4 linked regions of the Canis lupus familiaris genome follow. The protein of the gene in region 1 purifies or fractionates together with the protein of each later gene. This does not show direct contact. Links are inferred from orthologs where the notes say so. Each region holds a gene or a part of one and is shown on either strand. Other genes may lie near its edges.

Region 1 (8,015 bases):
TTATCACACCATTATTTTCCAGGGGCAAGTTTCAATACTGAAGTCAAGAAGGGGACAGGCAAACTAGAAGACACACAGAGGGGAGCCACACCTTGGGGAACTGGCGCCCATCGTAGTGGCTGATGATGGTGTTGGTGACTCCCAACCGGTGCAGATTACCCACGACACTCTTGAGCCGCTCAGCATTGGCATCGTTGGCAAGAATCACACCTGTGTTCTTCATCAGCTGGGCTGAAGGGAGAGAGGCATGGTGCTCACCAGCCAGCCACCCTCCAGCCCCAAAATGTGAAGTGGTGAATTCCCACCACTTCAAGGCAACTTTACTGTGAATAGGCCTCCTCCCCATGGTCTACAGGACAGATCTAGACCTGCACCCTCTGATGAGTAAGACTGCCAGTGTGGTTTTTTTCAGTTACCAAGCATCTTTTTGGTCCTCCAGACTAACTTACTTAAATGATAATAGCTTAATAAAATGACTATAACTAGCTATATGCTGAACACTTTGCTAAGGACTTCTAAAACATAACTTAACCCCGACAATTCAAGTATAATATAACTGCCAAGCCAAGCACAGTTGCCCCATTTCACATAGTAAGACAAGACCAGAGGCTTGTCCGTGGTCATATGGGTACTTAGTGGCACAAGGGGCTGGAACCCAGGCCAAATCCAGAGTCTGTACTCTTCACTTTTCTGCTAGTTGCTTGTGCACTGTTTTCTTGAGCACCAGAGAGTCAACGACCTCATTTACTTAGAAAAGCAGAGAGCCAGATGGCTCCTACCCTGGCCTGCCTTTCTCATACCTATGTAGCTAGTCTTTCCTCCAGGGGCACAACACATGTCCAAGATCCGTTCGTGTTCTTGGGGTGCCAAGGCCATGACCGGCAACATACTGGAGGCTCCCTGAAGCATATAGTACCCAGCCAGGTACTCGGGGGTAGCACCTGTGGAGGAGGACCAGTCAGTGACATGCTGGGACAAGGGCAGGGGCAAAGGGGCTATCGGGCAGGGGATACTTACCAATGGGCACAGAAGAATCATATACCACTAGTCCAGTCTTTGACCACTTGCCCAGAGGATCCAGGTTAACTCCACGGTTAATTAGTGCCTGAAAATAAGAAAGATAAAGATTTTATAACCTCGTAGGCTACCATATCCAGAAAACAGGTGGAAATATAAAAATATGGTTCTACTGAGTTACAACACAATCATAGACTCTTTGCAGCCTCTCCTATATCACCCATGACGTCCTTTCCCTTAGCCTTAGGCTCTAACTCAAGGCCTGAACTCTATCTGAATGGAGCAGACTGCCAGCTCCTGTCCTTTGGTTTCCTGGAACTGAACTCTGATGTTCCAGTAGGCTCAGTCCCCCTTACCACTATAAAATATAACATCACCGGCTATAGCACATTAAAGATAAGGATCAGGTAGGTTACATTCACACCAGGAAGACTACACACAGGGTCCTGCCAGTGACCACAGGACACCAGTATTAACATACAGCCCCTGAACCCTCTAAAACGGTGAGTTTAAAATACTGTTTGTGCATGTGTGGGGGCAAGAATCTGTTTCACCAGCCCCTCAATGATCTAAAAAGCAGGTAACTCCCATTTTGTTCTGAGGCAGCAGAACTTTAATCCTGATGCAGCATCTCAACCCTGTCACAGGGAGCACAAGCTGAAGGGACAAGTTCTCACTTCAGAGTTCCCGGGCCCCAAGCCAGTCAGATAAATCCAGTATGACACTAGGCCTACCTGAGTTTGCCTTTGGATCATGCCTGACCAAGAAATGCTTAGGTACTAACAGCCCACTCCTCAACCCCCATCTAAGTCAGATAGGGGAGTCTCTGCAGTTAAAAGTCAACAACCCCCTGAGATACAGAAAACAAAAATCTCAAAATCCATCCCTTACCTGAGCGAGGTCTCGACGTCGGGTTTTCAAGGTATTGGTCCTGAGGGTGATGGGCCGAGGCACCTCATTAGCTTCTAAGAACTCCACCAGCTGGGAAAGCAAAATGGCAGGGAGCAAGTCAGGCTGGCCAAGGAGCTTAGCTGGAAGAGGAAAGAGGAAGGAGGCTGCCCTCCTCACACAAGGTAAGATTGAGAGGTTGAGAAAAGAAAAGAAGGGGCATTAGATTAGCACTTCAGTACCTCAGACAGAGGAAAAAGGTCCATAAGCTTGCCAAGTAGGAAGTCTCCATAGGAGTAATAAGTAGCCAGATCCTTCTGAAGCCGGTGCAGATACTCAGAACGAGACCGACCTTCCTCCCGCTGAGTCCCAAAATCACGCAGCACTCCCACTATATCCTGGATGCGCTTGTGAATCCGTTGCAAGTCTGGAGCCTGGGCATGTGGATGTGTTAAGGAACTGTAACTGTTTCATGATGTCCAGAGCCTGGAAATTTCCTCTCACAAGCACCTTTCCCCTACCCCTCACCCAGCACTGGAAGGATATCCTGCTCCATCTCCCCAGGAAGGGGCAGCACAAAGGACTCCTCCTCATCCACATTGATCTGTAGGCCCCCCTCTGTCTCATCATCCTTTTGGGGGCATGACTGAAGGGACCCTTTCTCCTCTTCCTCCTCAGTCTCCTCCTCACTCCACTGGCCCCTAGAAACAGGTTCAGAAACAAGGATTCACAGAATAAAACAGACACCAGCTCCTCCCTCAATTCTTTCACCCCAGCTGTTGCCTGGTCTCCATCTTAAGAGTTTCTAAAACTTACCCAGCCACAGCCTCCTGAACCTTTTGCTTCTGAGCAGCCCTCTCAATGGGCAGCAGCTGAAAAAAGAGACAAGGGGCTAGTAATGCAAAGCCTACCCTCCTACCCTCCCAGGTAGTATTTTATCTCTGTATTTTATCATTTCCTAAACGCAAAAGTACACTCTCAGAAGCATGGAACCTAAAGAAGTGAAATGTGAGATTGGTACAGTATTTTTTTTAAAGATTTATTTATTTATTTATGATAGACACAGAGAGAGAAAAAGAGAGAGAGAGAGGCAGAGACACAGGAGGAGGAAGAAGCAGACCCCATGCCAGGAGCCCGACGCGGGACTCGATCCTGGCGCAGGACTCAATCCCAGGACTCCAGAATCGCGCCCTGGGCCAAAGGCAGGCACCAAACCGCTGAACCACCCAGGGATCCCCAGATTGGTACAATATTGACCATTGTTGCAACTAAGTAATGGATCAAGGGGTTTCACCAAAACCGTTCAACTTTTGTGTGTAGTTCCCTTCTCCTTAAAAAGTTCAGAACCTGGGGCATGCCTGTGTGGCTCAGTTGGTTGAGCAGCTGACTCCTGATTTCAGCTCAGGTCAATGATCTCAGGGTAGTTAAGACTGAGAGCCCCACTCAGGAGTCTGATTCTCTCCCTCAGCCTCTCTCCCTGCTCCCACACATGCATGTGCTCTGTCTCTCAAATGAATAAATTTTTTTAAAAGCTTTTATTTATTCATTTGAGAGAAAGAAAAAACACATGCACATAAGCAGGGGGGAGGAAGAAGCAGACTCCCCATTGAGCAGGGAGCCTGACGAGGGACTCGATTCCAAGATCCCAGGATCGTGACCTGAGCCAAAGGCAAAACTTAGCTGACTGAGCCACCCAGTGCATCTTCAAATTTGTTTCCTGCCCTTTCTCAGTCACAGATCACCAGCACTTTCATAGACATAATAGCCAAATGTTAACTTATTAGTTAGTTATAAGCTTCTTTATACACTTTATAACTTAGTGTATAAAGAAATTAAAATTTACTTAAGCATATTGGGTATTTTGGCAGCTTCCAGAGTTTGGAGCATTATAGTCCACAGGGTGCCTGCAAATCTCCTGATAGTAACTCTGTAGAGAAAAGGCAGTCTAGGAAAAAGGTGCAAATGTGAACTTTGTTTTCATCAAAAAAAAAAAAAAAAAAAAAAAAAAACCACCACCACCACCAACCACCTTGTATCACCTGAGTTTTCCTAACATATTCATATACTAACTGTATAATAATACATAAAGAACCCCTCCCTTTTTAAAAGTAATCCCTATACCCAACATGGGGCTTAAACTTACACTCCCAAGACCAAGAGTCCCATGCTCTACTGACTGGCCAGCCAGGCAATCCTACATAAATAACTTCTTACACCCCAGTCAATAAATCTGTCCATACTCTGGATCCTCCTCTGAAACAGAATTACTAGGTCAAAAGGAAGAAACTCTCCAAGGTTCTCAGACACCAAATGCTTCACTAAAAAACTATGTACGCTCTCTATTCCCCTCAGTGGGGCACTCAAGTATCCACTTGACCAGGTCCTCACCAGCACTGAGGAGTCTCATATTTCAAAATGATCAATCCTACAGCTTTTCTACACTTTTGTGTGCATTGAGCAAACACAGATGACAGGAAAACAATGATGGAATGCTAAAACCCCTTTTCTCTACTCAGCTCATCCTTGTCACTGAGTCTCAAGGACCCGGAAAGACTAAAAGGCAAGGATCCCTTCCTCAAAACCCACAGAACTAAAGCTCACCTCTTCATCTTCATCCTCGCCCTCTGAGTCGGAGTCGGCGCCGTAGTCATCTATCATATCAGCATCACTGTCCTCAGAGCCCCAGAGGTCCTCCTGGTTCAGCACACCATCCTCTTCAGAGTCTTCCTCCTCCACCTCTTCCTCCTCACTGCTATGGGTCAGTGCTGGACGCTTCTTGCCTTGAGTACCGTGATGCAAGGGCTGGGCTCCCTTCTTGCCAGGTGTCTGGACAGCTCCTCCAGAGATTCCTAAGGGTTTGAGGAATTCTGGACTGACGGCAGCCACACGCTGATGGAACCTACACTTTCTATTCCTAAAGATGTCCTGTTTCTTTCTCTCCAGAAATGCCCAGCAAGGCCTTCCCTACCCAGAACCCAGCGGACTCGTCATAGAGCACACAGCTCCTATACTCACTGACCTTTGGGTAGTTTTCCAGGCAATGGTTTGGCCCCAGGGAACTTATGCATCGCAAGGGATTCAGCAGAACCCAATCTCCTCTTGGCTGCCCTGAAAAGAAGTGAGGAAATGGAACATACCTCTGGGCTCTGCCACTGAAATGGGACAGTCCCCAAACAGCCCTTTCCACATGTGATCATGGGACTAAAGATAAGCAGTACCAATTTAATCCAGATAAACCTGCACAACCACACTCACCTCTTCCGAGCACGACTAGATAGCCTCTTAGAATTTTCATCACCAGCTGTATTTAAAAAAAAAAAAGAGAGAAGCAGAACAATAGGTTACAGGGAAAATGAAAAAGAACATTAGAAGAGAGGGGTGCCTGGGTGGCTCAGTGGTTAAGCGTCTGCCTTCGACTCAGCATGATTCCGGAATGCCAGGATGGAGTCCCACATCAGGCTCCCCGCACATAGCCTGCTTCTCCTCTGCCTGTGTTTCTGCCTCTCTCTGTGTCTCTCGTGAATAAATAAACATATCTTTAAAAAAAAATTAGAAGTGAAAATAAATGTAGAGAAAGAATACACTAATTAGGGGCATCTGGATGGCTCAGTCTGCTGAGCTTCTGCCTGTGGCTCAGATCATGATCTCAGATCTCAGGGTCCTGGAATTGAGCCCTGAGTTGGGCTCCCGGCTCAGCAAGGAGTCTGCTTCTCCCTCTTCCTCTGCTATTACCCCTGCTTGTGCTCTCTCACTCTGTCAAATAAATAAATAAAATCTTACAAAAAAAAAAAATACACTAATGAAAGGGAGTAGATTCTAATTCGTTCCACAGAGCTTTACAAGGAGCTGGATGAGAGATGTAAAAGAGATGATCTGTATGTGGTTGTTCATCAATCAAATCCAAACTGGGCCTCCCTCCAGACTTTTTTTTTTTTTTTAAATAAATTTTTATTTATTTATGATAGTCACACAGAGAGAGAGAGAGAGAGAGAGGCAGAGACACAGGCAGAGGGAGAAGCAGGCTCCATGCAGGGAGCCCGACGTGGGAGTCGATCCAGGGTCTCCAGGATCACGCCCTGGGCCAAAGGCGGGCGCCAAACCGCTGCGCCACCCGGGGATCCCTCCCTCCAGACTTCTGATTTCAGTAAATAGTATTACCATCATTCTGGTAACAAGAGAGATTCAAAATTAATCTTTTCTCTCTGGCCTTGGACCTGGTTTGCTGCAACATGGCTAAACCCCCCAAGAAGGTCTGAATTGGGGATGGGATGATAAATATGGAGTAGCCTGTGGTGCTTGGACCTATACCACCACTTCTGCTGTGGCAGTCAATTCTGCCATCAGAAGACTGAAGGAACTGAGGGACCAGCAGAAGCTCCACCATCTGAAACACTGCTGGTCTATAACAAATGGATTTATGTGACAAACAAAACTGTCTTCTCTTCTGTTTTTTTTTTTTTTTCTTTTTTAGGATTTTATTTATTTACTCAGAGACAGAGAGAGAGAGAGAGGCAGAGACACAGGCAGAGGGAGAAGCTGGCTCCACGCAGGGAGCCCGATGCGGGACTCGATCCCGGGACTCCGGGACCATACCCGGGACCGAAGGCAGACGCTAAACTGCTGAGCCACCCAGGGATCCCCTCTTCTGCTTTCTTTTATTCTCAATTTAATCAGTGACCAGCCACAGATTTTACCTTAGTAACTAGTTTTCCATACATTCTCCAAAAAAATAAAAGGCTTAAATGCCAGCCCTGTCATTTGCAAATGCCCAAGCTACTTAACATTCATTTCCTTCAGGATGTCTCTTTCACAAAGCACTAAGAGAATGAGGTGACATAACATGTCCAACAGATTCAGTATAGTGCCTAACACTTTTGAAAGATTTTAGAGGGAGAGAGTGTGCATGAGCAGGGGGAGGGGAAGAGAGAAAGAGAATCCTCAAGCAGACTCCCCGCTGAGCAAGGAGCCTGATGCAGGGCTTGATCCCACAACCCGGAGATCATGACCTGAGTGGACATCAAGAGTCTGATGTTGGGATCCCTGGGTGGCGCAGCGGTTTGGCGCCTGCCTTTGGCCCAGGGCGCGATCCTGGAGACCCGGGATCGAATCCCACATCAGGCTCCTGGTGCATGGAGCCTGCTTCTCCCTCTGCCTATGTCTCTGCCTCTCTTTCTCTCTCTCTCTGTGACTATCATAAATAAATAAAAATTAAAAAAAAAAAAAAAAAAAAAAGAGTCTGATGTTTAGGGCAGCCCGGGTGGCTCAGTGGTTTAGCGCCGCCCCGTCCAGGGCCTGATCCTGGAGTCCCTGGATCGCGTCCCACATGGAGCTCCCGGCATGGAGCCTGCTTCTCCCTCTGCCTGTGTCTCTGCCTCTCTCTCTGTGTGTCTCTCATGAATAAATAAATAAAAAATCTTAAAAAAAAAAAAAAAAAAAAAAAGAGAGTCTGATGTTTAACCGACTGAGCCACCCGGGTGTCAGTGCTAGCACTTTCTAGTATCTCAAAAACCTGCATCTTTTATCTAATGCCCAACACAAACTACCTGTCCACTCTTCTGTCATCCCCAGCCTTCCATGCCATAGATTATTCACCATATGGGAATCAGATCTGTGCCTTCCCATGCTCACCTCCTCCACAAAGCAGTTGATGTGACTGGTCTGTTCCCTTCCCAAGTTCCACTTACTAAAACGTCAACCATTTTCCAAAACCCAGATTAAAATCTTTTTAAACTCGAAATGCGTAGGTCCTCTAATAACCTTACTCAGTATTAACCTAGTATTAACCTGTACCTCTTGTTGCATGGGTACTTGGGTCCCTGCTGCATCTTCCCTAATTTCTAAGTGCTGATGACAATAAGTGTTTCATTCACACTTGTTTTTATTTTTTTGAGAGAGAGCGAGCGAGGGTGGGGTGGGGTGGGGTGGGTAAGGGGAGAGTGAACTTTAAGCAGACTCCCCACTGGGCGGGGAGCCTGCTGTGAGGCTCCATCTCACCACCCTGAGATCATGACCTGAGCCAAAATCAAGAGTGGAACGCTTAACCGACCAAGCCACCAGGTGCCTCCATTCATACTGGCTTTCTAAAAACTCATACAACAAACTCTGGTTTC
Region 2 (7,450 bases), on another chromosome or scaffold:
TTTGGGGGGATTGTTTCTGTTGATACTTTCATGCCTACTAACAGTAGGGGCTAGATACAGAACCTGAGAATTGATTGTAGATCTAGATGTGACTTGCTATGGTTTTGTAGGCAGAATTGTGTAATCAGGTAAGAGTGTAGACCCCTGGGTGTGAATTCAGCTGTACACTTTCTTGCTGTGTGACTCAGGCAAGTTACTTAGGCTCTCTGTGCTTCAATTTCAGGGAGTGTTAGGAATTTCTGCTTCATGGGGTAGCTGAGAAGATAAACTAAGAATACACTTAGAGCTTTACCATAGTTCTGGCACACAGTAAATGTTAAGTGGCCGCGGTGTTAGCATAGTGTTACCAAGCGGATGTAGACACTTGCAATGATGGTGGTCTGGAGTGGGTGTGACAGCCCTATGTTCATGTCCCAGGTGCAAACAGAGGTTCTTCAGAAGAGGCAGCGAGAGAAAACACATATGATGAATGCCATTAAGAAATATCAGAAAGGTCAGTATATCTCCCTTCTAAGGATATAGGGGAGCAGGGGCCGCTGCTATTTTAACATATCCTGCTTCTAGAGCCTTGATTGATTTGGAACCATTGGACCTAAGGTTTGGGAACAGTGTGGGGAGCAGAATATGCCTCTTAAAATTAATTTAGCGGGATCCCTGGGTGGCGCAGCGGTTTGGCGCCTGCCTTTGGCCCAGGGCGCGATCCTGGAGACCCAGGATCGAATCCCACGTCGGGCTCCCGGTGCATGGAGCCTGCTTCTCCCTCTGCCTGTGTCTCTGCCTCTCTCTCTCTCTGTGTGACTATCATAAAAAAAAAAAAAAAAAAAAAAAAAAATTAAAAAAAAAATTTAAATTAATTTAGCAAGTAACCACCTTTTTTTTTTTTTTTTTTTAAGTAACAACCTTCTTTTGAAGCTTCAGTTTTTCTTAAAATGTGTTAATGCTGATCAAAGTACCTTTTCACCCCCAGGCTTTTCTGATAAACTGGATTTTCTTGAGGGGGATCAGAAACCCGTTGCACGGAAAACAAAGGAAGGAGCAAAAAGCCAGCAGATGAAGAAGGGGTATGAAGGATTCTGGTTTGGTTTTGTGGTGGGTACTGGGCAGGCAGTCCAGGGGCAAGTTGGGGAGACCATAGGAGTGGCCTCAGGGTTGAGAGAGCGCAGTGCTACCTGCAGCCAAGGCTAAAGGCCTATGTGATGGATCCTTTTAGCCATATCAGTCTTAGAAGATTAAAGTAGGGTGATCTAGGGAGCGCCTGGCTAGCACAGTCAGTAGAGCATTTGACTCTTGATCTTGGGGCTGTGAGTTCAAGCCCCACGTTGGACGTAGAGCTTACTTAAAAAAAAAAACAAAAAACTAAAGTAGGGTGATTTAAGCATCTGGCACATTTTAAGTGAATATTTAGTAGAAGTAGATTCCTCATCTCACAGCACAATGGTTAAGTGTATAGACCTAGGGTTAGGGTCTAAAGTCCACCATTTTGGGTAGTTTTGAGCAAGTTTCTTGCCTTTTTTTTTTTTTTTTTTTTTTTTGAGTTCAATTTGCCAACATATAGCATAACACCCAGTGCTCATCCCATCAAGTGCCCTCAGTGCCGGTCACCCAGTCACCCCCACCCCCTGCCCACCTCCCTTTCCACCACCCCTTGTTCGTTTCCCAGAGTTAGGAGTCTCTCATATTCTGTCTCCCTTTCTGATATTTCCCACTCATTTTCTCTCCTTTCCCCTTTATTCCCTTTCACTATTTTTTATATTCTCCAAGTGAATGAGACCATATAATGTTTGTCCTTCTCCAATTGACTTATTTCACTCAGCATAATACCCTCCAGTTCCAACCACATCGAAGCAAATGGTGGGTATTTGTCGTTTCTAATGGCTGAGTAATATTCCATTGTATACATAGACCACATCTTCTTTATCCATTCGTCTTTCGATGGACACCAAGGCTCCTTCCACAGTTTGGCTATTGTGAACATTGCTGCTAGAAACATCGGGGTGCAGGTGTCCCGGCATTTCACTGCATCTGTATCTTTGGGGTAAATCCCCAGCAGTTACTTGCCCTTTCTAAATATTAGTTGCCTCATCTGTGAAAATGAGAAAAGTGTATGCCTGCATAGCATTATGCAGACTTAAAAGGGCTAATGGCGGATATTATTATTTTCTTTCTAGTTTACCTTTATGTATCCCTAGACACTGGGGCTGGGAGAAATGATAATTTCAGTAGAATATATTAATGCCATGATAAAGATATGTAAGGAGTAGCGTAGAAGCACATTTTAGAAATAGCTGACCCGTTCTGGGGATCAGGGTGTGAGGATGGCTCCCTGGAGGAGAGCCCCACCTGAGCTTAGTCTGAAGGATGAGCAAGAATTAACCAGGAGAATAGGAGAGACACAGGTTTCAGCAAAAATGAACACAAATGAGCAAAAGCGTAGAGATGAGAACAGGTTTGTGCATGAGGAACAGCAAGGATCTGGTACTGCTGGGAGTTCAGTGTGGGGCAAGGAGAGGTGAGATGTAGCTGGAGGGGGGTCTGGGCCAAGTCACAGAGGCAGTGTGTGCCTTGTTAAGAAGTTTGGGTTTTAGCCAGTAGGCCATGGGAGAGACATTGATTGAGTAAAGCACTCAAAATAATGACCACATCATAGTCATGTATTTGAAAAATTACGGTGGTACTTGTATATAGTGTGGACTCGAGGGAGGCAGAGAATTCAATAAAGGGGCACTACAAAGTCCAGAGAGCAGTGATAATGGGCTAAAAGTGGTAATGGGGGCAGAGAAGAGAAAACAGGTCGAAGAAACATTTGAGAAGTAATAAATTAGCAGCACTCAGTAATTGTGTTGGGTGTAGAGAGTGAAAGGAGGAAGAATCAAGGCTGGTGCCCAGGTTTCTAGCCCGGGAGGCTGGAATAGATGGTAGGACCACCAACCTCAAGTCGGTGTTTATATACGGAAGGCGAAACCAGTGTGGGAAAGGGAGATGGCATGTGATTTTGGATATGCTGAATGTGAGATTCTCCGGAATGACCAGTTTTAAAATTTATTACATTTGAATGTTAACTGCCTGTACTACCCTCGAAAGGAATAGAAACGACTAAGAATGATCTAGCAAGAGTTAGTTAGAATAGAAGAAGCTTTCTAGAGATAAGTATTGAGCCGCAAGATCTATGTGGATCCTTTCCTGGTTCTTGCTTTGTTTTCTTGCACTAGTGGTTAAAACTATAAGTGGATGAGCTTGCCTGGGGAGTTTTTAAGAGTTAAGAATGCAGGGTTGAGGACGAGATTCTGGGTAGCAGTAGCGTCTAGCTCTAAGCAAAGAGCTTTTGCTTATAGACAGGAAACTAAGGATACTGATGGGCCATAAGATCCATCAGGATTTGCAGTGCTGTGGGTAACTTGTAAGCCTGCTTTTTTTAGGCCCAGCGCTAAGCGACGCTATAAAAACCAGAAGTTTGGTTTTGGTGGAAAGAAGAAAGGCTCCAAGTGGAACACTCGTGAGAGCTACGATGATGTATCCAGCTTCCGGGCCAAGACAGCTCATGGCAAGGGCCTCAAGAGGCCTGGAAAGAAAGGATCAAATGTAAGTGAGCCGTGGGTCCCATCCCACTTCTACCCGCATCTTCCTGTCCTTGGGGCAGAAGGCCAAGCTGCTTTGTGACCACATGTGCTATTATTTCTTTTTCCGTAGAAGAGACCAGGAAAACGGACACGAGAGAAAATGAAGAGCAGACCACACTAAGCAGCATCTTTGTATACAAAGAACCAAGAAAAAGGGTTGCAAACTTGGGATTTCAGCATACAGTTGGATCTCTTGTGTTGGTTTCTTTTTGTAAAAAGTTCTTTCAATAAACAGTTTTCAAAGAAACACAATCATGGTTAAAAACTCAGGACTAAAAAAAGATGGAGAAGTTACTTTTATATATTAAGTAGGATTGCTATTGATTGACGATAATTTAGACTTTGAGTCCAAATCGTCTTTTTTTTTATGATATATGAAAACTTGCACCTTCCTCATGCTTCTAAGTAATTGTATCACGATTCTAGATAAGTCAAGAATGAGTGATCGTATCATTATGATTATTTAAATACCCATCACTGTCAAGCTACGTGTACTATGATAAAATTTCCTTTGTGATACAGCTGTGGGTTTTCCTTGAGTTAATTATCACCTCATATTTTTCTGTGTGCCTGATTTTCCTTGTATATCCTTATTTTTCCTTAGACACATGTCATTCTTTCCACCTTACAGTTTCCTGTCTGTCATAACAGCTCTCACCCTGCCTCTTCTAGACCATCTGGATTGAACTCACTATTTCCTGGATCCCATTTCTGTCTTAGATTATGCCTTCTTTTGCCATGTACCATCTTCTAGTATCTTCCTAGAAGGGATCTCCTACACATCTCTGCAGTTGCCTTTAGTTTGGCTGGTGGGAGTTGTCCTGAGAATGTTGTAGGCATAGCCTCCCCACTGAAAAGTTGCTGCCATTCCCTCTCTTCTGGAAGCTTTTCCTCTCCCAGCGATCTGAAATTCCATGATGACCTGCCTTGGCGTGGGCCTGTTTTATTTCTTTGCTTAGGGTGTTTGGAAGGATGCTAGATCTTTTGTTCTGGCAAATTTTATTTGATAGCTTCTCCCTATTTTGTTGTTGTTGTTGTTGTTGTTGTTGTTTGTTTGTTCTAATTCTGGAGTTTGTTAGTCAAATTTTGAACCTCTTCTGATGATCTTCTAGGTTTGTGTTTTAGTTCCACTTTAGGGAAAAGATTTCTTTGATTCTTTTTTTCTAATCATTCAGTGAATATTTAGCTTTCATTTTACATTTTATCCCCAAGAGTTCTTATTCTTTCACCTCAGAATGTGAATTATGATTTTCGTTTTTTGAGAGTTATTCTGTTCCTTTCATTCTGTTTCCTTGGGTTTCCTCCAGCCCCTCCCTGTGCATTTTGATCCCCGTTTTTCATGTTGAGCTGTATGGAAGTCAGGAGCACTGGCTGGGCCAGACTGCTGGGTTAACACCTGTTTCTGCTACTTCGCTGTGTGACCCTGGGCGTGTTATTTTTTCTGTGCTATGTCCTCTCTGTATAGTGAGAATAATCTACCAAATACAGTTCCTGTCAATATTAAGTGAGTTAATACGTGTAAAATGCTTTAGAACATTGCCTGCCATATAGTAAGAGTTTTTACCTGCTTGGAATTATTTTGGTGGGGGGCTTTCCATAATGTCTGAGCCTTAGTGGTACCTATTTGAGAGGTACTCCGATTCTGGCTGGAAGCCAGGAATAGGTAGGACATGGATGGGCAGGTCACGTTGCATGTTGGGTTTTATTCTGTTGATAGGGTGGGAAGTTTGTTTACCTGCCCTTCCTTTCTCCATTACAGTTTAGAAACCATACATTAAGGACTAGAGATATCTGAGAACTGTATATTCTTAAGCAGAAAAAATAATTTATTTTCCCATTGTTTCCTTTCTTGTAGAGTCATTGGTATATAAAGAAAGGACGTTTCTGGTTCCCTATGATTCTAGTACAAAAAGAACGAATTTAGGTTTTGTAAAGTAATTTCAGTTAACAAAATTCCGAGCAAACAGGTCATGTTTTCAGAAGACCAAAACGTGTTACCCTGACCTATTTTTGACAATCTACAATATTAAGTGGGTGGGGGTAATGTATAGGAATTCAAAGAAAGGGCCTCAGAATCAGTTCAAGAGTTTGGGTCAGGTGTGGAACACATTGAGAGTTTTAGGAAAGGAGAACACAAGTTTACAGTTCATACCAGCAAGGCCAAGTGTAGGTCATTACTGCCAGCACTTTTAAAGACATTGAAAGCTGTGTACCTTACCTTCCTTCTTTTTTTTTTTTTCTTGTATAGCAAATGGAATCCCTTTCCTTAATTTCAGAGATAGATATACTTTGTAGAAGTCACTTATGTCACCTCTCTACCATGTCAGCCCTCACCGGGTCACCAGGGTGCAGGCAGGATTAACCTTCCCATTGCATTATATCGCAACCCCAGGCACCAAGACCTAGGTGGGGACCCAGATGGGGACCCGGCAGTTCCTGGCACCAAAGATAGGCTGTTCTTGCTTTGGGTGGATTTCCATTCCCGCGGTAGCAGTTTCTCAGCAACACTTCACGTTTCAGTTACCCAAGTATTATCAACTCTGAGTAAGGGCAGAAAGTAGAAACTTTACTGCTAGCTCCACAAATCAGTCCATAAATCATGACCAAAATAACAGATGCATAACCAGGGAGCAGCCATCCCTGCAAGAGCCTGGGTGGCAGGTCACTGCACATCTTGCTCAGTTCATGCACAGATGGCCAAGAGGGTGTGTGCATGTGGCTGGTCTCCCAGAGACCCATATTTTACAAAAATAGGCTATTAAAAGAATCCACCAACAAAGATGAAAGAGGGACAAGAAAGTGCAGGTGGTCAGGTTGGAAGTAAAATTTGAATAGGACACAAGTGGAGCCCTAGGAGAAAGAGGTGACAAGGGCATGGTGACACTTGCTTCCTGGAGACTGGGTACACGGCCAGAAGGGGAGCGGAAGCAACACAGGAAAATGATGAAAAGGCTGAAGATGTCCCAGAGGAAGTGACACCAGCAGGAAACTTCACGTTTAAGGGGCTCATGGAGGTATTTTGTAACATTGAAAGTACAGGTGACAAAATGGTGGAAGTGAATCCAAATTTAGGAGTAAGACAGTTTGCCAAGTTTTCTCTGTGTCATGTGCAAGGAAAAAAAGGCAAGCACTTTTTTTTTATAAATAAAACACTTGGTTTTCAATGTTTTTAATATTTTAAATTACAGTCTACTAAATACTAGTTTTACTATTTTCTTTTTATGCATTTAACAATAGGGGGTTTTAGTACTTTGATGAACTTTTTAAAAAACTTTTCATCACCATATTTTGAGGAGAGCATAAAGTGGATATGCAGAGATGTGAGTCTAATTTTCTGATCCTAGTGTAAATTATAAGAGCTCAGGTCCCTGGTTCTTTCTCATTACAGAATTGTTGGTTCTGAGAGTAATCACTGCTCCTGCAGGTCTGTTCCTTTAAATACAGCACGTTCTCCTCCCCAACACCAAACAAAATAGAATATGCTGTTAGGCTGTACACAGGCAGTGCTCACACGCACCATAGTGCAGGGCCATAAAAATGAGTTGCTTGCTGAAATCATGCAAGGCGATCTTAGTAAATTTTGATAAATTGTTTTAAAGGTTATGAAGGTAGAAGGGTGCTCAGAGCTCCCATGCCCTCTTCAGGTATGACATCTTCCCTGCACCTTGATGCATCCACCAGCCTGGAAGCTCTCCAGACTCCAGTTTCAGGGTTTTTAGGAGGTTTCACTATGCAGGCACGGTTGATTAAGTCACTGACCACTGGTGATGGTCTTCTGTCCCTCTTCCCTCCCCAGGGGTTGGGGGTTGTGGCTAAAACTCCCAAGTGTCTAA
Region 3 (8,015 bases), on another chromosome or scaffold:
AGAGTGAGGCCTCGGGGTGTTATTGTGAGTGGAAACAGGCTGGAGGTCCATCCCCTGGGAGGGAGAGGTAGGGAAGATGACAGGATGTGCATTGGAAAGCTCTCTCTGGACAGCCCTCAGAGGACAGGCCAGGCAGTGAGGAGCCACAACTGGCAGCCACCTGGTACCCTGTCGGGTGAGGAGGACTACTTGGCAGGGAAAGCCAGCAGGACCAGATGGGACAGGCCAAGATGCATGCTGTGACTCCAGCAACCAATAATCCAAAAGGAATCCTGCCTCCTCTTCTCAGTCTTCAGCGGCTACCCAGTCACTCCAGGGAAAAGTCTACATCCTTCCACCTGCACCGAAGTTCTTCCCTCCATCCTCTCTGTCTGGCCTTCAGCTACTCCCTAATGTGTGTGCACTCTGCTGTAACACAAGGATCTCCAGCAACTCTGAACACAGCCTGTTTCTCTTGTCTGGTGTCCACGCAGTAGTCAGAGGCCAACCACCCACCTCTGGGGCAGGAAACAAAACGGAGCGCCTCAGACAAGTGATTAGATAGGGCGATCCTGTCTCCGGTGTGTACCTAGAATTTAGCAATATTGGAAAGATCTGCTTGGGAAGAGATTTGGATCAACGTGAAAAACAGACCCCCTATTTCTCCCTGATGTGACATTTGTGCACCAGAAAGGGTGCTGGGGATGGAGCGTGTGCTAGACAGAATAAAATTCTGATGGTGAAAGGGGAAAGGCGGGACAAAGAGGAGAAGAATATAATCAGATATCACTGATTTGTTTGTTTATTATTCAATAAAGGTTTATCACAGCACTGAGTTAGATGCTGAAGATACAAAGATAAAAACGCACAGTGCTCTGAGATTTTACATCCCACTGCAGAAAAAGATAGTGGAAATAATGACCATTCAGTTAAGAAAAGCATGAGCAGTAGGTAAAGAGGGGAGAGGGAACAGACCTGCTGGGGAACCCACGTAGGGCTTGTGTTTGAGTGGTGGTCGGCACAAGAATAAGTTTGCTGAGAGGACAATGGATATACGGAGGAGAAAACATTCCAAGCAGAAGGGAAAGACATCAGAAAGGCACAGAAGTGCATTTGCACAGTCTTTATTAGAGCTTGAAAATAAACTGAGGAGAAGCTATGCCATAGTCATGATTGCAGAACTTTTCACTGTTTGCTCCATCGATAAAAAATGTTTGCATATTTGTAAATTTAACATGCTACTGTTCCTATAATTATGAACACTATAAAAGGTTAAAAAAAATCTCAAAAATGGAGATTTTTGAGAAAGTGACTCCAGCCTGGGGCAGAGAAACTGTGAATTGAGGATGTGGTTCTAGAAAGCGAGGAAGGACACAAAGAAAAATGGGGTTATGTCAACAGGACAAAAGAGACAACTGGAAAAGGCTCACGTGGACCAAATTTGGGACAATTCTGGCATCAGGAAACAAGAAGCTGTAAATGATTATAAGACATAATCCAAGGTGTTAATTAGAAGAACAAAGAATCCGTGTGTGCATGATATGAAGGGATATGTGAGAGACTGCAGGGCAAGCGGCAGGCCTGGAAAGAGCACAAAAGCCTCACCTTCTGCATCTCCTCCATCTGGCTGCTCCTGCTCCTGAGTTATATCCTTTCATAATACACTAGTGACCTAGCAAGTGAACTCTTTTCCTGATTCTGTGAGCTGCTATAACAAATTAACTGAACCTGAACAGGGGTCCATGGGAACCTCTGATTCACAGCTGATAGGTCAGAAGCACGGGTGCCAACATGGACTTGCCACTGGTGTATGACGATGTCTTGTGGGAACTGAGCCTTTAACCTGTGGAATCTGATGCTGTCTCCAGACAGCGTCAAAATCACGTTAAATTGTAGGACACCTAGGCAGCCCCAATGGCCCAGCAGTTTAGCGCTGCCTGCAACCCGGGGTGTGATCCTGGAGACCCAGGATCGAGTCCCATGTCAGGGCTCCCTGAATGGAGCCTGCTTCTCCTTCTGCCTGTGTCTCTGACTCTCTTTCTATGTCTGTCATGAATAAATAAATAAAATCTTAAAAACAAAACAAAACAAAAAAAAAGAAAGAATAAATTAAAAAAAATAAATTTTAGGAGACCCAGCTGGTGTTGGAAAAGCTTCTGGTGTACGGAAAACCCCCAACACACACATTTGATGACCAAAGGTGTCAGAAGTAGTGTGTGAGAGTGAAGGAGACACACAGAGGTGAGTCTTTCCCTAGGTAAACCTACCTTCTGTGTGAAAACATTTTATAAGCACCTTCAAAGATCCTTGGTTAAAGTAAAAAGGAACAGGATAGGATATGTCTACTCAAGTAAAAACAAAAAAGATATCACACACACACAAAAAAAACCCCAAAACAACAAACAAACCAACCCACATCTTTAGAATAATTAGCTACAGCCAGTAAGTAACAAAGACAGCTCTGCAGGTCTCCCCTGCTGGACTCCAGGGGCTGCAGGATTCCCTGTGCTATCTGCAGGGCTGGGTCAACTGACTCATCATGTGTTAAACACTCTTGTCAGCAGAGGGAGCAGAGGAGGTTTCCGAGCTATTCCTCTGTGGGCTAGAATGGAAACCATCTGCGATTGCTTACTGGAGCCCCTTTGCATGACACAGGTAGGGACAGGTCATGTGGCATTCACTCTCAAGGGTTTGACAGAAGTCATAATCACATTAAAAACACATGCCACTTCCTTTAAAATAGCTTTAACGTTTCAGTTGCAGAGTTCTACAATCAGGAACAACCATCAAAATGAAATGAGACTTCTTCCTCAATACAAAGAGCCGGTATATTTCCCTGAATACAAACAAAACAAAAACCAAAAATTAAATATAACACTATCAGATGGAAGTACAAATTATAAACTACATATTCTATAAAAGCTATCGTACATGTAAGCTGCTGGACCTGGAAGGTTTTTGCAATTGCAGATGTCACTAACTATAGAAGGAATAAGAAAAGCTCAGAAATGGGATCTGATATTCAGAACGCAAGAGAAAGCCTAAGTGGTACAGAATACATTTTAAATTACATTACTTATTCAGAATTACAAAAGTAATACAGCGAAAATGGTTAATGCATACATACACGAATGACTTGGCCACCTCCAGGCCAATTCCCTTCACAGCATTTGTCAAGGTTATGATACTCGGACCACGGAAAGCAGACACCTGGCGGGGAAGGACACTTACTTTTTGGCAAATCTCCAGTGCTGGAGGCTGAAACCGTACGGCTTCTGTCATGGGATGGACTGCTTTCCTCAGGCTCGGTAAGTGGGGATCCCTCGGAAAGTGCAGAGCCACAAGCCACAGGTTCTAAGGGCCCAGAAAACAATGATGTGGAAAACTCTGGAAACTGTGACTCAGGAATTTTATGCCGTCCATTTGGCAATTCACCATTGAATTGTTCATAGGAGCTGCTATATGTGTAATCACTTTCTGCATTTGGCTCATCGAGGTTATATTCCTCAGGATTTGGGCAATCTTCTTCTTCATCGTCTTCATCATCCAGCTGCTGTTCCAGTAAGAACGGGCCATTCTCAATATGGCCATTGGTTTTGGGTGATTCTATCCAGGCAGGGTCTGCATTGGTCAATTCCTGTTCAACATCATCTTCATCCTTCTCAGTGTTTTCTTTCTCGGTGTCTTCTTTCTCTTCCTGGTCCTCAGCCTCGCCTTAAAAAGTTGATGGGTTAAGAATCAGAATGCGTTACTCTCCTTAACACAGTGGCACTAGGTACATATTTCCTCCAACAAGGGACAATTTTGAGTGGGCTTAATTTAGGGTTATTTTTCTCCCTCAAATAAGCTCAACCCCCAATGTGGGGTTCAACCTCACAACCCCAAGAGAGTCACATGCTCCACTGACCGAGCCAGCTGGGCACCCCCGAATATGCTTGATTTATGTACTACAAAGCAAAGCACCTCTTGGTTCTCAGGGTAAGATCATAGGTTTTCTAGATCTCATTTTTTCATTCAGTAAATAATTGGCTAACTCTTATTAGAAAAAGTTAGATTTGGAGGAAAATGACTCTTTATAGAGTTGCCTTTCTACTTCTACCCTCTCTTCTACAATCTTCAGAAAATGTCTGTGAATACACTACTATTAGGTTAAAGGTTAATTAAAAAATAAAGAATAATCATTAGTATGATTGAGACATGGTGTTAGACATTTTCCATTTTTTAAAAAACTGTTTTAAAATACTAACATATTTCTGGCATTCGTTTTACAAATGAAGTGGCAGACGGTTTCCCATATTCCCCAACCACAGCCTATGTGGTGACCCAGCAGGTGCTCACTCAGGAAGCTCCAGGACCCCGTGCAGACTGACCGTTGTCATTCACAGGCTCGCTCTCAGCCGCATCCTCTAAGCCGGCAGCTTTCAGTTTGCCCTCTGGGCGGTATTCATCGTCTTGTTCATTGGAAGGTACTGCTGATGTGATGTTTTCTTCTATTATTTTCCTTTCGGCTTCTCGCTCCAATTCTTCTATCTCCTGCAGGCGCTTTTCCAATAACTCAGCCTGCCTTTTCTGCTTCTTTTTCAGTTTTTTCTTTTTGTTCTTAGATATTTTTCCTATCTACAACATGGGAAGAAAATACCACAGGTCAGTCTGCTTCTTTTTAAAGCACTCCACAAGACTACCTGTGCTAGCAACATGGCAAATAACAACAAATCATGTTTCCTCAGGTCTTATTCATTAAGACCAAGTCCCCATGGATCCCTGGGTGGCGCAGCGGTTTGGCGCCTGCCTTTGGCTCAGGGCGCGATCCTGGAGACCCAGGATCGAATCCCACGTCGGGCTCCCGGTGCATGGAGCCTGCTTCTCCCTCTGCCTATGTCTCTGCGCCTCTCTCTCTCTCTCTCTCTCTCTCTCTCTGTGTAACTATCATAAATAAATAAAAATTAAAAAAAAAAAAAAAAAAAAAGACTAAGTCCCCAGACAGGAGACCCACCTTGTGGTTAGGGTTACAATAAAACCAGAAAAAAAAAAAGAAACCAGTGCTGCCTTACATCAAGTAGGGGGCGACTAGCAGTCCCTGTCCTTAGAGGGACACAGCTCCAATTCAAGAAGTCCACTTCAATTCAACTCTAAGAATGGAAAATGCTCAGATACCCCGGCCTTTAAACAAGAAGCACCCCTTGCAAGTTTTATTGCTGCCTATCTACAAACCAACAGTATCACCTCTCCTTAATGTCTTACCCAACTACCTGCCATAAAAGAAAGGCCTGCCAGCACAGGTGTACTGCCTTCATGGTTGGTCAACAGTAATGCTGGTGTTTGAGTCTCACACAACGAGCTGGGGTCAACAGCTGGGACTGCAGAAACTGTCAGCAATGAACATATGAAGTAAAGGAAAAAAAGAAAAAGCCACAGTTTCAGTCAGCCTCCTATCAGGGCCACATGACTGGGAAAGTGCTGGCAATGACAGCCTACAGTCTTTCCATAGAATCAATAATCAAAACAAGCTGCTCAAACCACAGCAGGACTGTAGGCAATGATTCGGCTCCTCAGTAAGCCAGGTGGCATAATTATTACAACTCCCTCTTGTACTGGGACTTTCATTCCAAAGTGAGGGCTGCTGGCAGCACTCTGAATTTCTCGACATTTCCTTTCAAATGCTTCTGGTTCATAAAGCTCTTTCAAAACTTGTAGGTGACTCATCAACTCAAGATATATATATATATACATATATATATATTCATTCTATCCTCTACTGGAACTAAACAGGTTTAGGGACATCAGGGTAAGTTTTAATTCCAAGCAACTTGTTTCATATGACTGGACCACAAAACAGACAATACTCTTTTCCATATTTAACTAGTGGCTAGGAAAACAAATTAGAGTACAAGCTTCAGAAAAATGGGTATCTTGGAGGCAAATCAGAAATAATGTTAAGTGTTTTGTAAAAATCACACTTCGAACTCTATCTTGATCATGTCACATTTCACCAGAGTCAGCTAACAGCACCCTAGAAAGTGAACAGGGAAAATGAAGATCCAGCTTGGAAAAGCTCTAACTATTCCAACTCTAAAAATCACTTCAACTTATGAAAACAGTAAGCCTCATATATTCAAGGATACATAACATTTATCAACATGCCCATCTTTTACATCAAGATGGATTAAACATCTAAATTGAGAACATAACAAAAAAAAAAAAAAAACAAAAACAAAATCCATTTGCCCAAACAATCTTAAATGAAAAACTGTGACAGAGAGAAACAGAGACTAACGTTACAACTTGAAAAGCTCAATAAGGAACAGTTGCTTTTGACGTGAAGGTGAATATAAGTGTATGTGTAAATACTTACAGGTTTTTGTTGTGGAGCCGTACTCACTAAAACAAAATGAAACAAAATGAATGTTTAGAGGAAAATAGATCTGTATCTTTATTAGGTAATCTCAATTGTAAAATGAAGGTAATCATTGCCTTTTAATGGCTATCCAACTTCAAAACTGTTAAAACTACAGAGCTTCTTAATCACAGAGATCTGAAGAAAGTTTATCCATCTCAAACAAATGACTGGCTCTTCAAAGGCACAGAAGTAGTTGTTCATTGGGCCACTTCCCTTATTTATCTAGAATTAAATACCCATTCATTTCAAAGAGAGTCAATACCAAAGCATTGACTGATAACTTAAGAAAATGGGTAAGAGTTCACAAATATCACATAGTCATCTAACCAAATTTATTTTATAGACAATAAAATGATGAATGTAAATTAGGAGATGCACATCTATGTTTGAAAACTCTTTGGCAAGTCTATACAGCAGAAATAAATACTCTAGAAGTCACATGACCAGTCTTTGCCAGCTTGATTGACCATAGGTCTATGATCTAAAAAAACACCCTAAAGGTAAAAAACAAGACTAGGAGGTAGTGCGCAGCTCCCAAGAGTCCTGTCAGTCACAGGACTTCAGACCCTAAGTCTGCACACTTGCCGGACAATGCACTAGGGTGTGGATAACATGAAGAGATGAGGAAAGTGGTCAACATGTTACTGTAGCCGTTACACTCCATGGAAGCCAGATAGAAAACTCTATATATAGAAAACTCTATAAACTCAAGGTATCTGGCCTTCTCCCACCCTTGGGTCTTTTGTAACTAATTCCAAATTCACCAGTTAGACTCAGATTGATGTAGACTAACTGGAGACAAGGAAGCATTCTAACAAACCTAAAACCGGAAGAAAATTCTGATGACTATAGGTCAGCTACAAGCAAGCTGTTACCATGTACACCTTCACAGAGAAGTGTGCAGGCGATGAAACAGCTCGTAGGATTTCAAATGACTGTTTAAGGGAGGACAAAGTAACTCAAATATTAAAGCATAATTTAATTGGGGCATCTTTTTAAGACCTTTTTAAGAGAAAGGTCTTATTATTTCTAGCTGTCAGACTCTTTCAAAAGTTCTTAACAAGTATTTGACTCAACTGCTTTCAGTGTGCAACTCTGCTGGCTCTCAATGCCCCCAAACAAATTGAAACAAAGCTGGCTTAGCTCCTCACCTGCAGACCCGGAAGGAGGAGGAGCACCTGCTTTCTGCCACTCGGTGGCCTCGGCTGCCATCCTTCTCACATATGCATCATCCACACACATCAAGATGTTCTCCGGCTTTATGTCAGTATGAATGATCTTGCACTTACTGTGTAGATAATCTAACCCCTGGAGGACCTGGTCATTGTAAAATCAAGAGAAGAGAGGAGTTATTAATACCTTCACTGTTCAACATTTGTAAAAATAAGTAACATAATCACAAGGCACAAAATAAAATTGACACAAATTTCTAGTAAAAATCTCCCTCCTGCCCCCACCCTCACAGGAGCCCAGCATCTTCCCATAAACAACCAATGTGCATCATTCTGGAGATTCTTTATGTTCATGGAAGCAAATGCATCTATACACATACTTATGTTTATAACGACTTTATTGAGATGTAATTTACATACAATTCATCCTTTTAGGTGTACAATTCGATGGTTTTTAGATATCCACC
Region 4 (8,015 bases), on another chromosome or scaffold:
CTCACTCTCCAGGTATTAGAACTTCAATTCCAACCATACAACACTGAACTGCCCTTATGGTTTAAAGGTGCACGCCTAACAGAGAACCATGTGGTCAAACAAGATTTTATTTTATTTGATGGTAACAACAAAAACTGCAGTAAAATGATGACTTTTCTATTCAGGCAAGTTAACTAAAGATAGCTGAAATCTGCAAAGAAATCTAGAGACCAGGACAAAGAGGCAGCATGAGCCCAGCTACTGTAAACTATGCATCTGTGCATTTCAGCAACGGCAGGTAAGCCAGCTGACCGCTTTCCGTACGGACTTGAACTGACAGTTTTTCCTCCAAGAATCTTGTCAATGGTTGCATTCCACTGCTAGTTAAATACAAAGAATCAGCCCTCACAATAAAATCACATCTTCCAGAAGAAATATACATTTAGAATCACTGATTGCTTTTTCTTTGTCTTTTTTTCCTTGAACGTGTAGGTGTTTGAGTCTCTTGTGTTTCTTCTTTTACACCAGGTACGGGCTGTTTAAAAACTATTTCATTATCTTCATCATCAACATTTATTTTAGCTGCTTCAGATTTTCGTTTCTCCAAAAATGCTGGTGTACAAACTGGCGTGGAGCCCTGGATTCAACGAGTAACAAGTGAGAATACAGAAACATAGGAAGGTATTAGGAATGAGTTTAACCTTCCCACCCCCCTTATCACCTGCCCTATACTTTAGGAAGTTAGTATGGAAGTTTACAATGAACTAGAATATAACATGCCCCATTATAGGGTATTAGGTTAAAAACTGTCTTACATTTATAAAGACAGCGGCCTCATTTCCCCCTACTGACATAGTTACTTTGCTAAAATTAGTTACAATGCAGTAAATTCACAATAACTTTTGCTAACCTCACTATATTTGCTAAGTCATCAGTAAGGACTTACCAAAACAAACACAAGGTTAAACCTGATATTTTAATAACGTGAAAGCAGCACAAACTTGCTTTTCCTTTTTTTTTTTTTTTTTTAATACGGGTACCTGGGTGGCTCACTTAGTTAAGTCCCTGCCTTTAGCTCAGGTTATGACCCTGGGGCTCTGTGATGGAGCCCCACTTGGGGCTCCCCGCTTGGTGGCGGCAGGGGTGGGGTGGGGTGTGTGCTGTCCAATGTTTGTGTTCACTCTCTGTCTCTCATATCTGTGTCTCCCTCTTTTATTCTTTTTTCTTTCTTTTTTTTTTTTAAAGAGGTGCATCCTAAGTATCTAGGGTTGAAAAGTTAGCACAAGACCGCAGATGTGGGTCTCAGGTTAGGAGTGACAATCAAATCCACAACATACTGTGGCTCACTCAGCACCTCATTTATTTTTTACCTTTTATTTTATTTTTTTTATTTTTTAAAGATTTATTTATAATAGACAGAGAGAGAGAGAGAGAGAGAGAGAGAGGGGCAGAGACACACAGGCAGAGGGAGAAGCAGGCTCCATGCCGGGACTCGATCCCGGGACTCCAGGATCGTGCCCTGGGCCAAAGGCAGGCGCCAAACCCCTGAGCCACCCAGGGATCCCGTTTCTTTTTTTTAAATGAACTTTTTTTTTTTTAAAGATTATTTATTCATTCATTTATTCACAGAGAGACAGAGACAGAGACAGAGAGAGAGAGAGAGAGAGGCGCTGAGACACAGGCAGGGGGAGAAGCAGGCATCATACAGAGAGCCTGATGTGGGACTCGATCCAGGGTCTCCAGGATCATGCCCTGGGCTGCAGGCGGCGCTAAACCGCTGCACCACCGGGGCTGCCCTGTGTCTCCCTCTTTTAAGCAAATAAAATCTTAGAAGAATTATTTACTAATTTATTTTAAAAGTAATCTCTAGGGACGCCTGGGTGGCTCTGCAGTTGAGCATCTGCCTTTGGCTTGGGTCGGGATCAAGTCCTGCATCGGGCTTCCTGCATGAAGCCTGCTTCTCCTTCTGCCTGTGTCTCTGCCTCTCTCTGTGTCTCATGAATAAATAAATAAAATCTAAAAAAAAAAAAAAAAGGAATCTGTATACCCAACATGGGGCCTGAACTTATGACTCTGAGATTAAGAGTCCCACATTCTACCAACTGAGCCAGCCAGGTGCCCCAGCTTTTCCTCTTTCAAATCATTTCTGTAATACCTCATTTCCCAGCATACTATAGACTGTTTTACCTGGCTATCCACGGTCTTCTCAGGAGTGGTAGTAGTACGTGAACTCTTCTTCTTCTTCTTCTTCTTTTTCGGCAAGACCTTCAATAAATTTTAAGAGAGAAACTTCATCAATCTGCCTATTTATCAGCAATAAATAAATCTTGAATCTATTTTCCCATTTATCTTTCCCTAATATCTGGCATGTAGGGGATGCCTGGGTGGCTCAGCAGTTAGGCGTCTGTCTTTGGTCCAGGATGTGATCCTGGAGTCCCAGGATTGGGTCCCATGTCGGGCTCCTTCCATGGAGCCTGTTTCTTTCTCTGCCTGTGTCTCTGCCCCCCTCTGTCTCTCTCATGAATAAACAAAACCTTAAAACAAACAAACAAAAAAAAAAAACCCCTACACCTGTATCCCAATGTTTATAGCAACAACATCCACAATAGCCAAAGTGTGGAAGGAGCCTCGGTGTCCATCGGAAAGATGAATGGATAAAGAATGGTCTATATATACAATGGAATATTAGTCATTAGAAACGAATACCCATCGTTTGCTTCAATGTGGATGGAACTGGAGGGTATTATGCTGAGTGAAGTAAGTCAATCGGAGAAGGACAAACATTATACGGTTTCATTCATATGGGGAATATAAAAAGTAGTGAAAGGGATTAAAGGGGAAAGGAAAGAAAATGAGTGGGAAAAATCACAGAATGACAAAACATGAGAGACTCCTAACTCTGGGAAATGAACAAGGAATAGTGGAAGGGGAGGTGGGCGGGGGGATGGGGTGACTGGGTGATGGGCACTGAGGGGGGCACCTGACAGGATGAGCACTGGGTGATACACTGTATGTTGGCAAATTGAACTCTAATAAAAAAACATACAAAAATAAATCTGGCATGTAGTATGATAATTAAAATTTTACCTGGCTATCTGTAGGCTTCTCAAGACCAGTGTCTGAAGCATTTTTTTCCTTTTTATGTAAAATCTAAACAAAGAAATGAACTGGTAGTCTCACATATTTATATTTTTAAATTACCATTAGATCCTTACACGTTATCAGTAAATCTTCTCCAAATAACACAGCATTTTAACTTAAAAAGCAAAACCACAACCTTAAGGGCAAAACTGTAAGAGGGGCCTAACTAAGGAATGGGCTCAGGCTATGAAGGCTGAATGGGGCCCAAATTCAGAATTAGATAATGAAGCAGGGCTGCTTCCACACAAAGCAGCAAATGGGCAAGCATAGAGGCATTTCTGGCATGCCTGTTTTCCAGCTTCATTGTCCCAGTTCCCACGTGGTTCCCATGGGTCCCTGGAACAGTGACACATGCTCTTTTCACACGTACAGATTTGAGCAAAAAACCAACTACTAGGAACTGGGCCCAGGGAGGGTAGCTAAATTTCCAGTTGCTAGATAAGGTTAAAAGATCTAATAAACTCAGAAATAGATGCCATCTCCCACCAACTAAGTAGTTTTTTGGAAATAAGCTGAGAGGTATAGAAGACTCAAAATCAATCTCAAGACTTAGTCAAGGAAGAAAAAAGGCCTTCACCTATATTGTCCACACCTTAATGACCTATACTCTTGCTTTGCAGTAAAAACCACACAGCTCTCCTCCACTAATGACGAGGAGGAAAGACTCCACAAGGTCTCCTTATTCAACAAGCAAGGAACTAAGAACTGGATAAAACTCTGTGCTAACTCATTTTCATGCAAGTCGTCTTGTTATATATTTCAAATCATGAGAATTTTGCAAATGAGCTAACCCCTTTCAATGGTTTCCTTTTCTGCATAATGGAGTTAACAGGATCTTGTTCTAACAAATTTTTATTTATTCATTTGAAAGAGCTTGAGTAGGGAGAGGGGAGGAGAGGAAGAGAGCAGACTCCCCACTGGGCAGGGAGTTTGCTTCTCCATCTCCCTCCTGCCCTCCCAACTTGTGCTCTCTCAAAGAAGATCTTTAGGGAAAAAAAAGAACCCATAATGTAATGTTTCAAAATTAAGGCAAAGCCTAGCATGGGATAAACACCGGGCTAGACAATTTATGCATAAAACCATAAATATGTTACAACTAATGAGGCACAAAACCCACCCCCAAGAAAAAAATACAAAAACATTTCGTGAAGGAATATTTACCAGTGAAGGAAAATCATAATCAATTCCCTTTTTAGCTAATTTCTTCCTGAGTAATTTTTCCTTCTTTTTAAAACGTTCTTCCATCTGTAGCTTTTGAAGAAGTGTCCGATTTTGATTATACCGTTTCACTGCTGGATATGATGGCTTTTTAAATGGAATATACCACTCTCTAAAAAGTTCTTCATGTACTTTTTCAGGCGGTATAAAATGACCTATAGTTCAAAGAAAGAAAAAATTTTCAACCAACTGGAAGATTTTAAGGTTTTCACCACTGTCATTCCCCTCATATCATAATCAAGAGGACATGTCTCCCATTTACAGGGAAAAGACTGAAACAACAAAATGGGAATCTAAAAGAAAGGCTTACAGCCAACAATTATCATTAAGTATCTATTTATTAAATGCCAAGAACTGTTCCAGGAGCTAGAAACAGGTTAGCGAACAAGATGAGTCCTATAAAAGAAATGTCTTGGTGGCGGCAAGTCTCTGGGATTCCTGAAGCTACCAGGATCTCAGGCTGTGTGACCTGCTGTAGCAGAAGGAATTACTTCCCAGCTAATCTCCTCTGCATACCTCTCTAGAACTAAGCCAGCTTACTGCTTATCTCCAGCTCTCTTCTTAGTGGCACTTTTAAGCTATGGAAGCTTAAACCAACTACTAGGAACTGGGCCCATATGCAAGGCAGGCCAAAACCCTTGGCATCAACCCTCAAACAATGACGGATGGGGAGTTGGTAGGTAAATTCCCTATTTCCCTTACCTGTCAATTCGGAATAATTCTGTCTCCCGTGTTACCTGGCAGGATGGAGCCCAGCTGCCTAAGAAGTAATGTGCTTGCTAATCCACCCTCAATGCTTCTGTCTCACTTCTCTACTCCCTATCAGTATTTTCCTGGGCTCACCTCAAAAATATGTCACTTCTGTTAAAAAAAAAAAAAAAAAAAAAAGAAAAAAGAAAAAGACAATGTGGCTAACCTCCTATCAGAGTTCAGGATCTTTTCTGTGGTTTTTCAAAGTCAGAAACAGCACAGCACCGATCCTACCCATGTGGACCCTTGACACATTTTAGGTCACCTATTTAGTCCATTTCCTCTTGGGAAGAGCCATGCTTTCTATGTGTGAAATGAACCCATGACCTCAATGAGGCTACTGGGATTCTCTGTCACAGCAACAGGAACCGAGAGAGAGATGATACTTGGGCAGCTCGTCAGCTACATGAACTGACGTGTGTGGCTTGGGCACGTGGTATGGTCAAACACTCCACAAATGGCACAGAGAAGGCAAACTTAACTGCCTCCAGAGGCACCCAATTGCAGATAGGGATGCTTTGGGAATGCAAAGTGAGCAGCTCCACTTTCTGCAGGATAGACTAATTTGGTGTTGTTTCTCTACTCCTTATGGCTTCGCCTGTGGAAGAGCTGCAGCCAATATCATTTAGATGGATTCTCAAATGTGATTTCTTGCTTTTAATGTTATCCTTTTTTTTTAAAAAAAATTTTACTTATTTGAGAGAGAGATGAGTGTGCATGCACGCATGGGAACATGGACGGAGGTGAGGAGTATAGACAGAAGCAGACTCCCCACTGAGCGGGGAGCCAGATGTGGGGCTTGATCTCAGGACCCTGGGATCATGACCTGAGCTAAAGGCAGATGCTTAACTGACTGAGCCACCCAGGTGCCCCATCTTTATAATGTTATCTTATCTAGAACCTGTTAATGGCTTCCCACTACCCCCAGGATATATTCTAAACTTCCAGATTTTTAAGGCCTTTAATAACCTGACCTCTTGCTATTCTCCTCACATTCCTTCACAACCAAATAAGTACTGTTAGTTACCTCCCGCTATGCATATCCTATCTCACCAAGCCAGGGATGGTAATTCCCTTCCCCCGGCTCATTCCTATCTCATCTTCAGATTTCAACTTAAATGTTGCTTCTTTAAGGAAGCCTTCCATATCCCATTAGTGATGAGTTGGCTGCTCTTCCAATGTAGTACCTTGTCCCAATTCCATCTTAGAATAAAAACAGCTCTTACTCTAGAAGATTTTAAAATTCTAACTAGAATCTGTCTAGAAAATGCACTCGTATCTTTGCACTTAAATACTTAGGAGAATCATCCCAGAGATGAAGTGGGACAGCCAAGCAGGTAAGCAATCTGTCATTCACAGCACAGCCATGAACCAGCAGCAGGCGTCCACTTAGTCCCATGGTAAGAGAAGAGCACTTACACTGTAAAAGCCTTTCACCAAAAAGGTAGTTGTTCATTGTGTCAGCAACTATCTTGGCAACATCTTCAGATGCGAACTCCACAAAGGCATAGCCTTTACTATTTCCAGTCTGCAATGGAAAACCCACCACAAACAGTTGATTAAATTTTAACAGATCATCAAAGTTCTAAAATGCCATTAATTTAGCCCTATTGTCTATTAACAGTACACCTTTAATTCTAACTTCAATGCACAGTGCAGGGACTGTAACAGGAATAGGTAAGATCTGGCATCCACCTGGGTGGCGCAGCGGTTTGGCGCCTGCCTTTGGCCCAGGGCGCGATCCTGGAGACCCGGGATCGAATCCCACATCGGGCCCCCTGTGCATGGAGCCTGCTTCTCCCTCTGCCTATGTCTCTGCCTCTCTCTATTTCTTTCTCTGTGACTATCATAAATAAATAAAAATTAAAAAAAAAAAAAAAAAAAAAAAGATCTGGCATCCATGGCTGGCTGAATCAGAAAAGCATACAACTCTTGATCTCAGGGTTGTGAGTCTGAGCCCCACACCGGGTGTAGAGATTACATAAAAATAAAATATATTTGAAAATAAAATACATTAAAAAAAAAAAGAAAGAAAAACAAAAGGATCCAAAATGTCTGAACATGCTGTTGAAGTATCCCTGGAATTTTGATTACATGATTAATACATTACTACTGCAGCTGGAATTTACTACACAAGGAAATCTGGTAGAGCCCACAGTCCTTTATACATTACCAATTTCATTGAAAGCCACCTTATTCATGTATTAACAATGCCCAGCAGATAGTGCAATGCTTTGCAAAGAATGCAGGTAGTCCTAGTCTCACTTTATACATAAGAACTGGTAGTAGAACAACTCTCCTCCTTTACAGTTCCAATTATTAGTAACAAAAGCAGTACTGCACAATTTTGCATTAAACATATCTTTGGATATGGATCAAAACTGGTGATGCAATTATGGAAATAGGAAAGCACTCAATGACCAGGAGGCACATTTCTAGCACTAGTGGTGCCATGAACTAGCACATTGTTTAGCTATCTGCAAAAAGAGGATTTTGGCAAAAATTTTTATGTCCCCAAATCCTTTAAAATTCCATCTTTAATAGGGAGGGGAAAATGGTGGAGTTGAAGAGACAGGCTGTGAAATCCAATTACTGTATCACATGATATAAACCTTCTGAAAAGAGATGTGAAAATACGTATCAAGTGACTAAAACAAAGAAAACAAAACAAAACCCAAAAAAGCCAGGGGCTCCTGGCTGGCTCAGTTGATAGCGCATATGACTCTTGATCTTAGGGTTGTAAGCTTGAGCCCCATGTTGGATTTAGAGATTACAATAAATAATAAATAAAAATGAAGAGCCAAACACTTTTAAGTATTTTACCTAGTAATCCCAGAACGTTGAAGTATTGAGCAAACAGTCAAAATTGGGGTGAGTCAGGAAGGTGGCAACTTTATCATGCAACAATGCTGGAAATGGTAAATTTT

What was found. Proteins that work in one complex are often made in the same cells at the same time.
Region 2: the proteins of NOP2 (region 1) and EBNA1BP2 fractionate together in Homo sapiens (co-fractionation; 3 studies listed by BioGRID and IntAct, with this or other methods). This does not show direct contact. The link is inferred for Canis lupus familiaris from reciprocal best matches to the Homo sapiens genes NOP2 and EBNA1BP2.
Region 3: the proteins of NOP2 (region 1) and SRPK2 purify together in Homo sapiens (affinity purification with mass spectrometry; 3 studies listed by BioGRID and IntAct, with this or other methods). This does not show direct contact. The link is inferred for Canis lupus familiaris from reciprocal best matches to the Homo sapiens genes NOP2 and SRPK2.
Region 4: the proteins of NOP2 (region 1) and NIFK fractionate together in Homo sapiens (co-fractionation; 3 studies listed by BioGRID, with this or other methods). This does not show direct contact. The link is inferred for Canis lupus familiaris from reciprocal best matches to the Homo sapiens genes NOP2 and NIFK.

The regions. Positions count from the first base shown.
Region 1 is NC_049248.1:7,645,176-7,653,190, forward strand, and holds part of NOP2 (probable 28S rRNA (cytosine(4447)-C(5))-methyltransferase), read right to left. Parts: intron 5,207-8,015; coding exon 5,161-5,206; intron 5,014-5,160; coding exon 4,925-5,013; intron 4,755-4,924; coding exon 4,507-4,754; intron 2,778-4,506; coding exon 2,722-2,777; intron 2,607-2,721; coding exon 2,452-2,606; intron 2,348-2,451; coding exon 2,148-2,347; intron 1,999-2,147; coding exon 1,909-1,998; intron 1,106-1,908; coding exon 1,018-1,105; intron 942-1,017; coding exon 801-941; intron 486-800; exon of another isoform or gene 232-485; coding exon 92-231; exon of another isoform or gene 23-91; intron 1-22. UniProt on the Homo sapiens protein: S-adenosyl-L-methionine-dependent methyltransferase that specifically methylates the C(5) position of cytosine 4447 in 28S rRNA. Required for efficient rRNA processing and 60S ribosomal subunit biogenesis.
Region 2 is NC_049236.1:17,084,556-17,092,005, forward strand, and holds the end of EBNA1BP2 (probable rRNA-processing protein EBP2), read left to right. Parts: intron 1-417; coding exon 418-493; intron 494-967; coding exon 968-1,061; intron 1,062-3,416; coding exon 3,417-3,579; intron 3,580-3,687; coding exon 3,688-3,738; 3' UTR 3,739-4,138; downstream 4,139-7,450. UniProt on the Homo sapiens protein: Required for the processing of the 27S pre-rRNA.
Region 3 is NC_049239.1:15,496,110-15,504,124, reverse strand, and holds part of SRPK2 (SRSF protein kinase 2), read right to left. Parts: intron 7,694-8,015; coding exon 7,528-7,693; intron 6,358-7,527; coding exon 6,332-6,357; intron 4,597-6,331; coding exon 4,350-4,596; intron 3,694-4,349; coding exon 3,211-3,693; intron 1-3,210. UniProt on the Homo sapiens protein: Serine/arginine-rich protein-specific kinase which specifically phosphorylates its substrates at serine residues located in regions rich in arginine/serine dipeptides, known as RS domains and is involved in the phosphorylation of SR splicing factors and the regulation of splicing.
Region 4 is NC_049240.1:29,904,616-29,912,630, reverse strand, and holds part of NIFK (MKI67 FHA domain-interacting nucleolar phosphoprotein), read right to left. Parts: intron 6,617-8,015; coding exon 6,508-6,616; intron 4,494-6,507; coding exon 4,282-4,493; intron 3,130-4,281; coding exon 3,067-3,129; intron 2,245-3,066; coding exon 2,167-2,244; intron 617-2,166; coding exon 428-616; 3' UTR 1-427.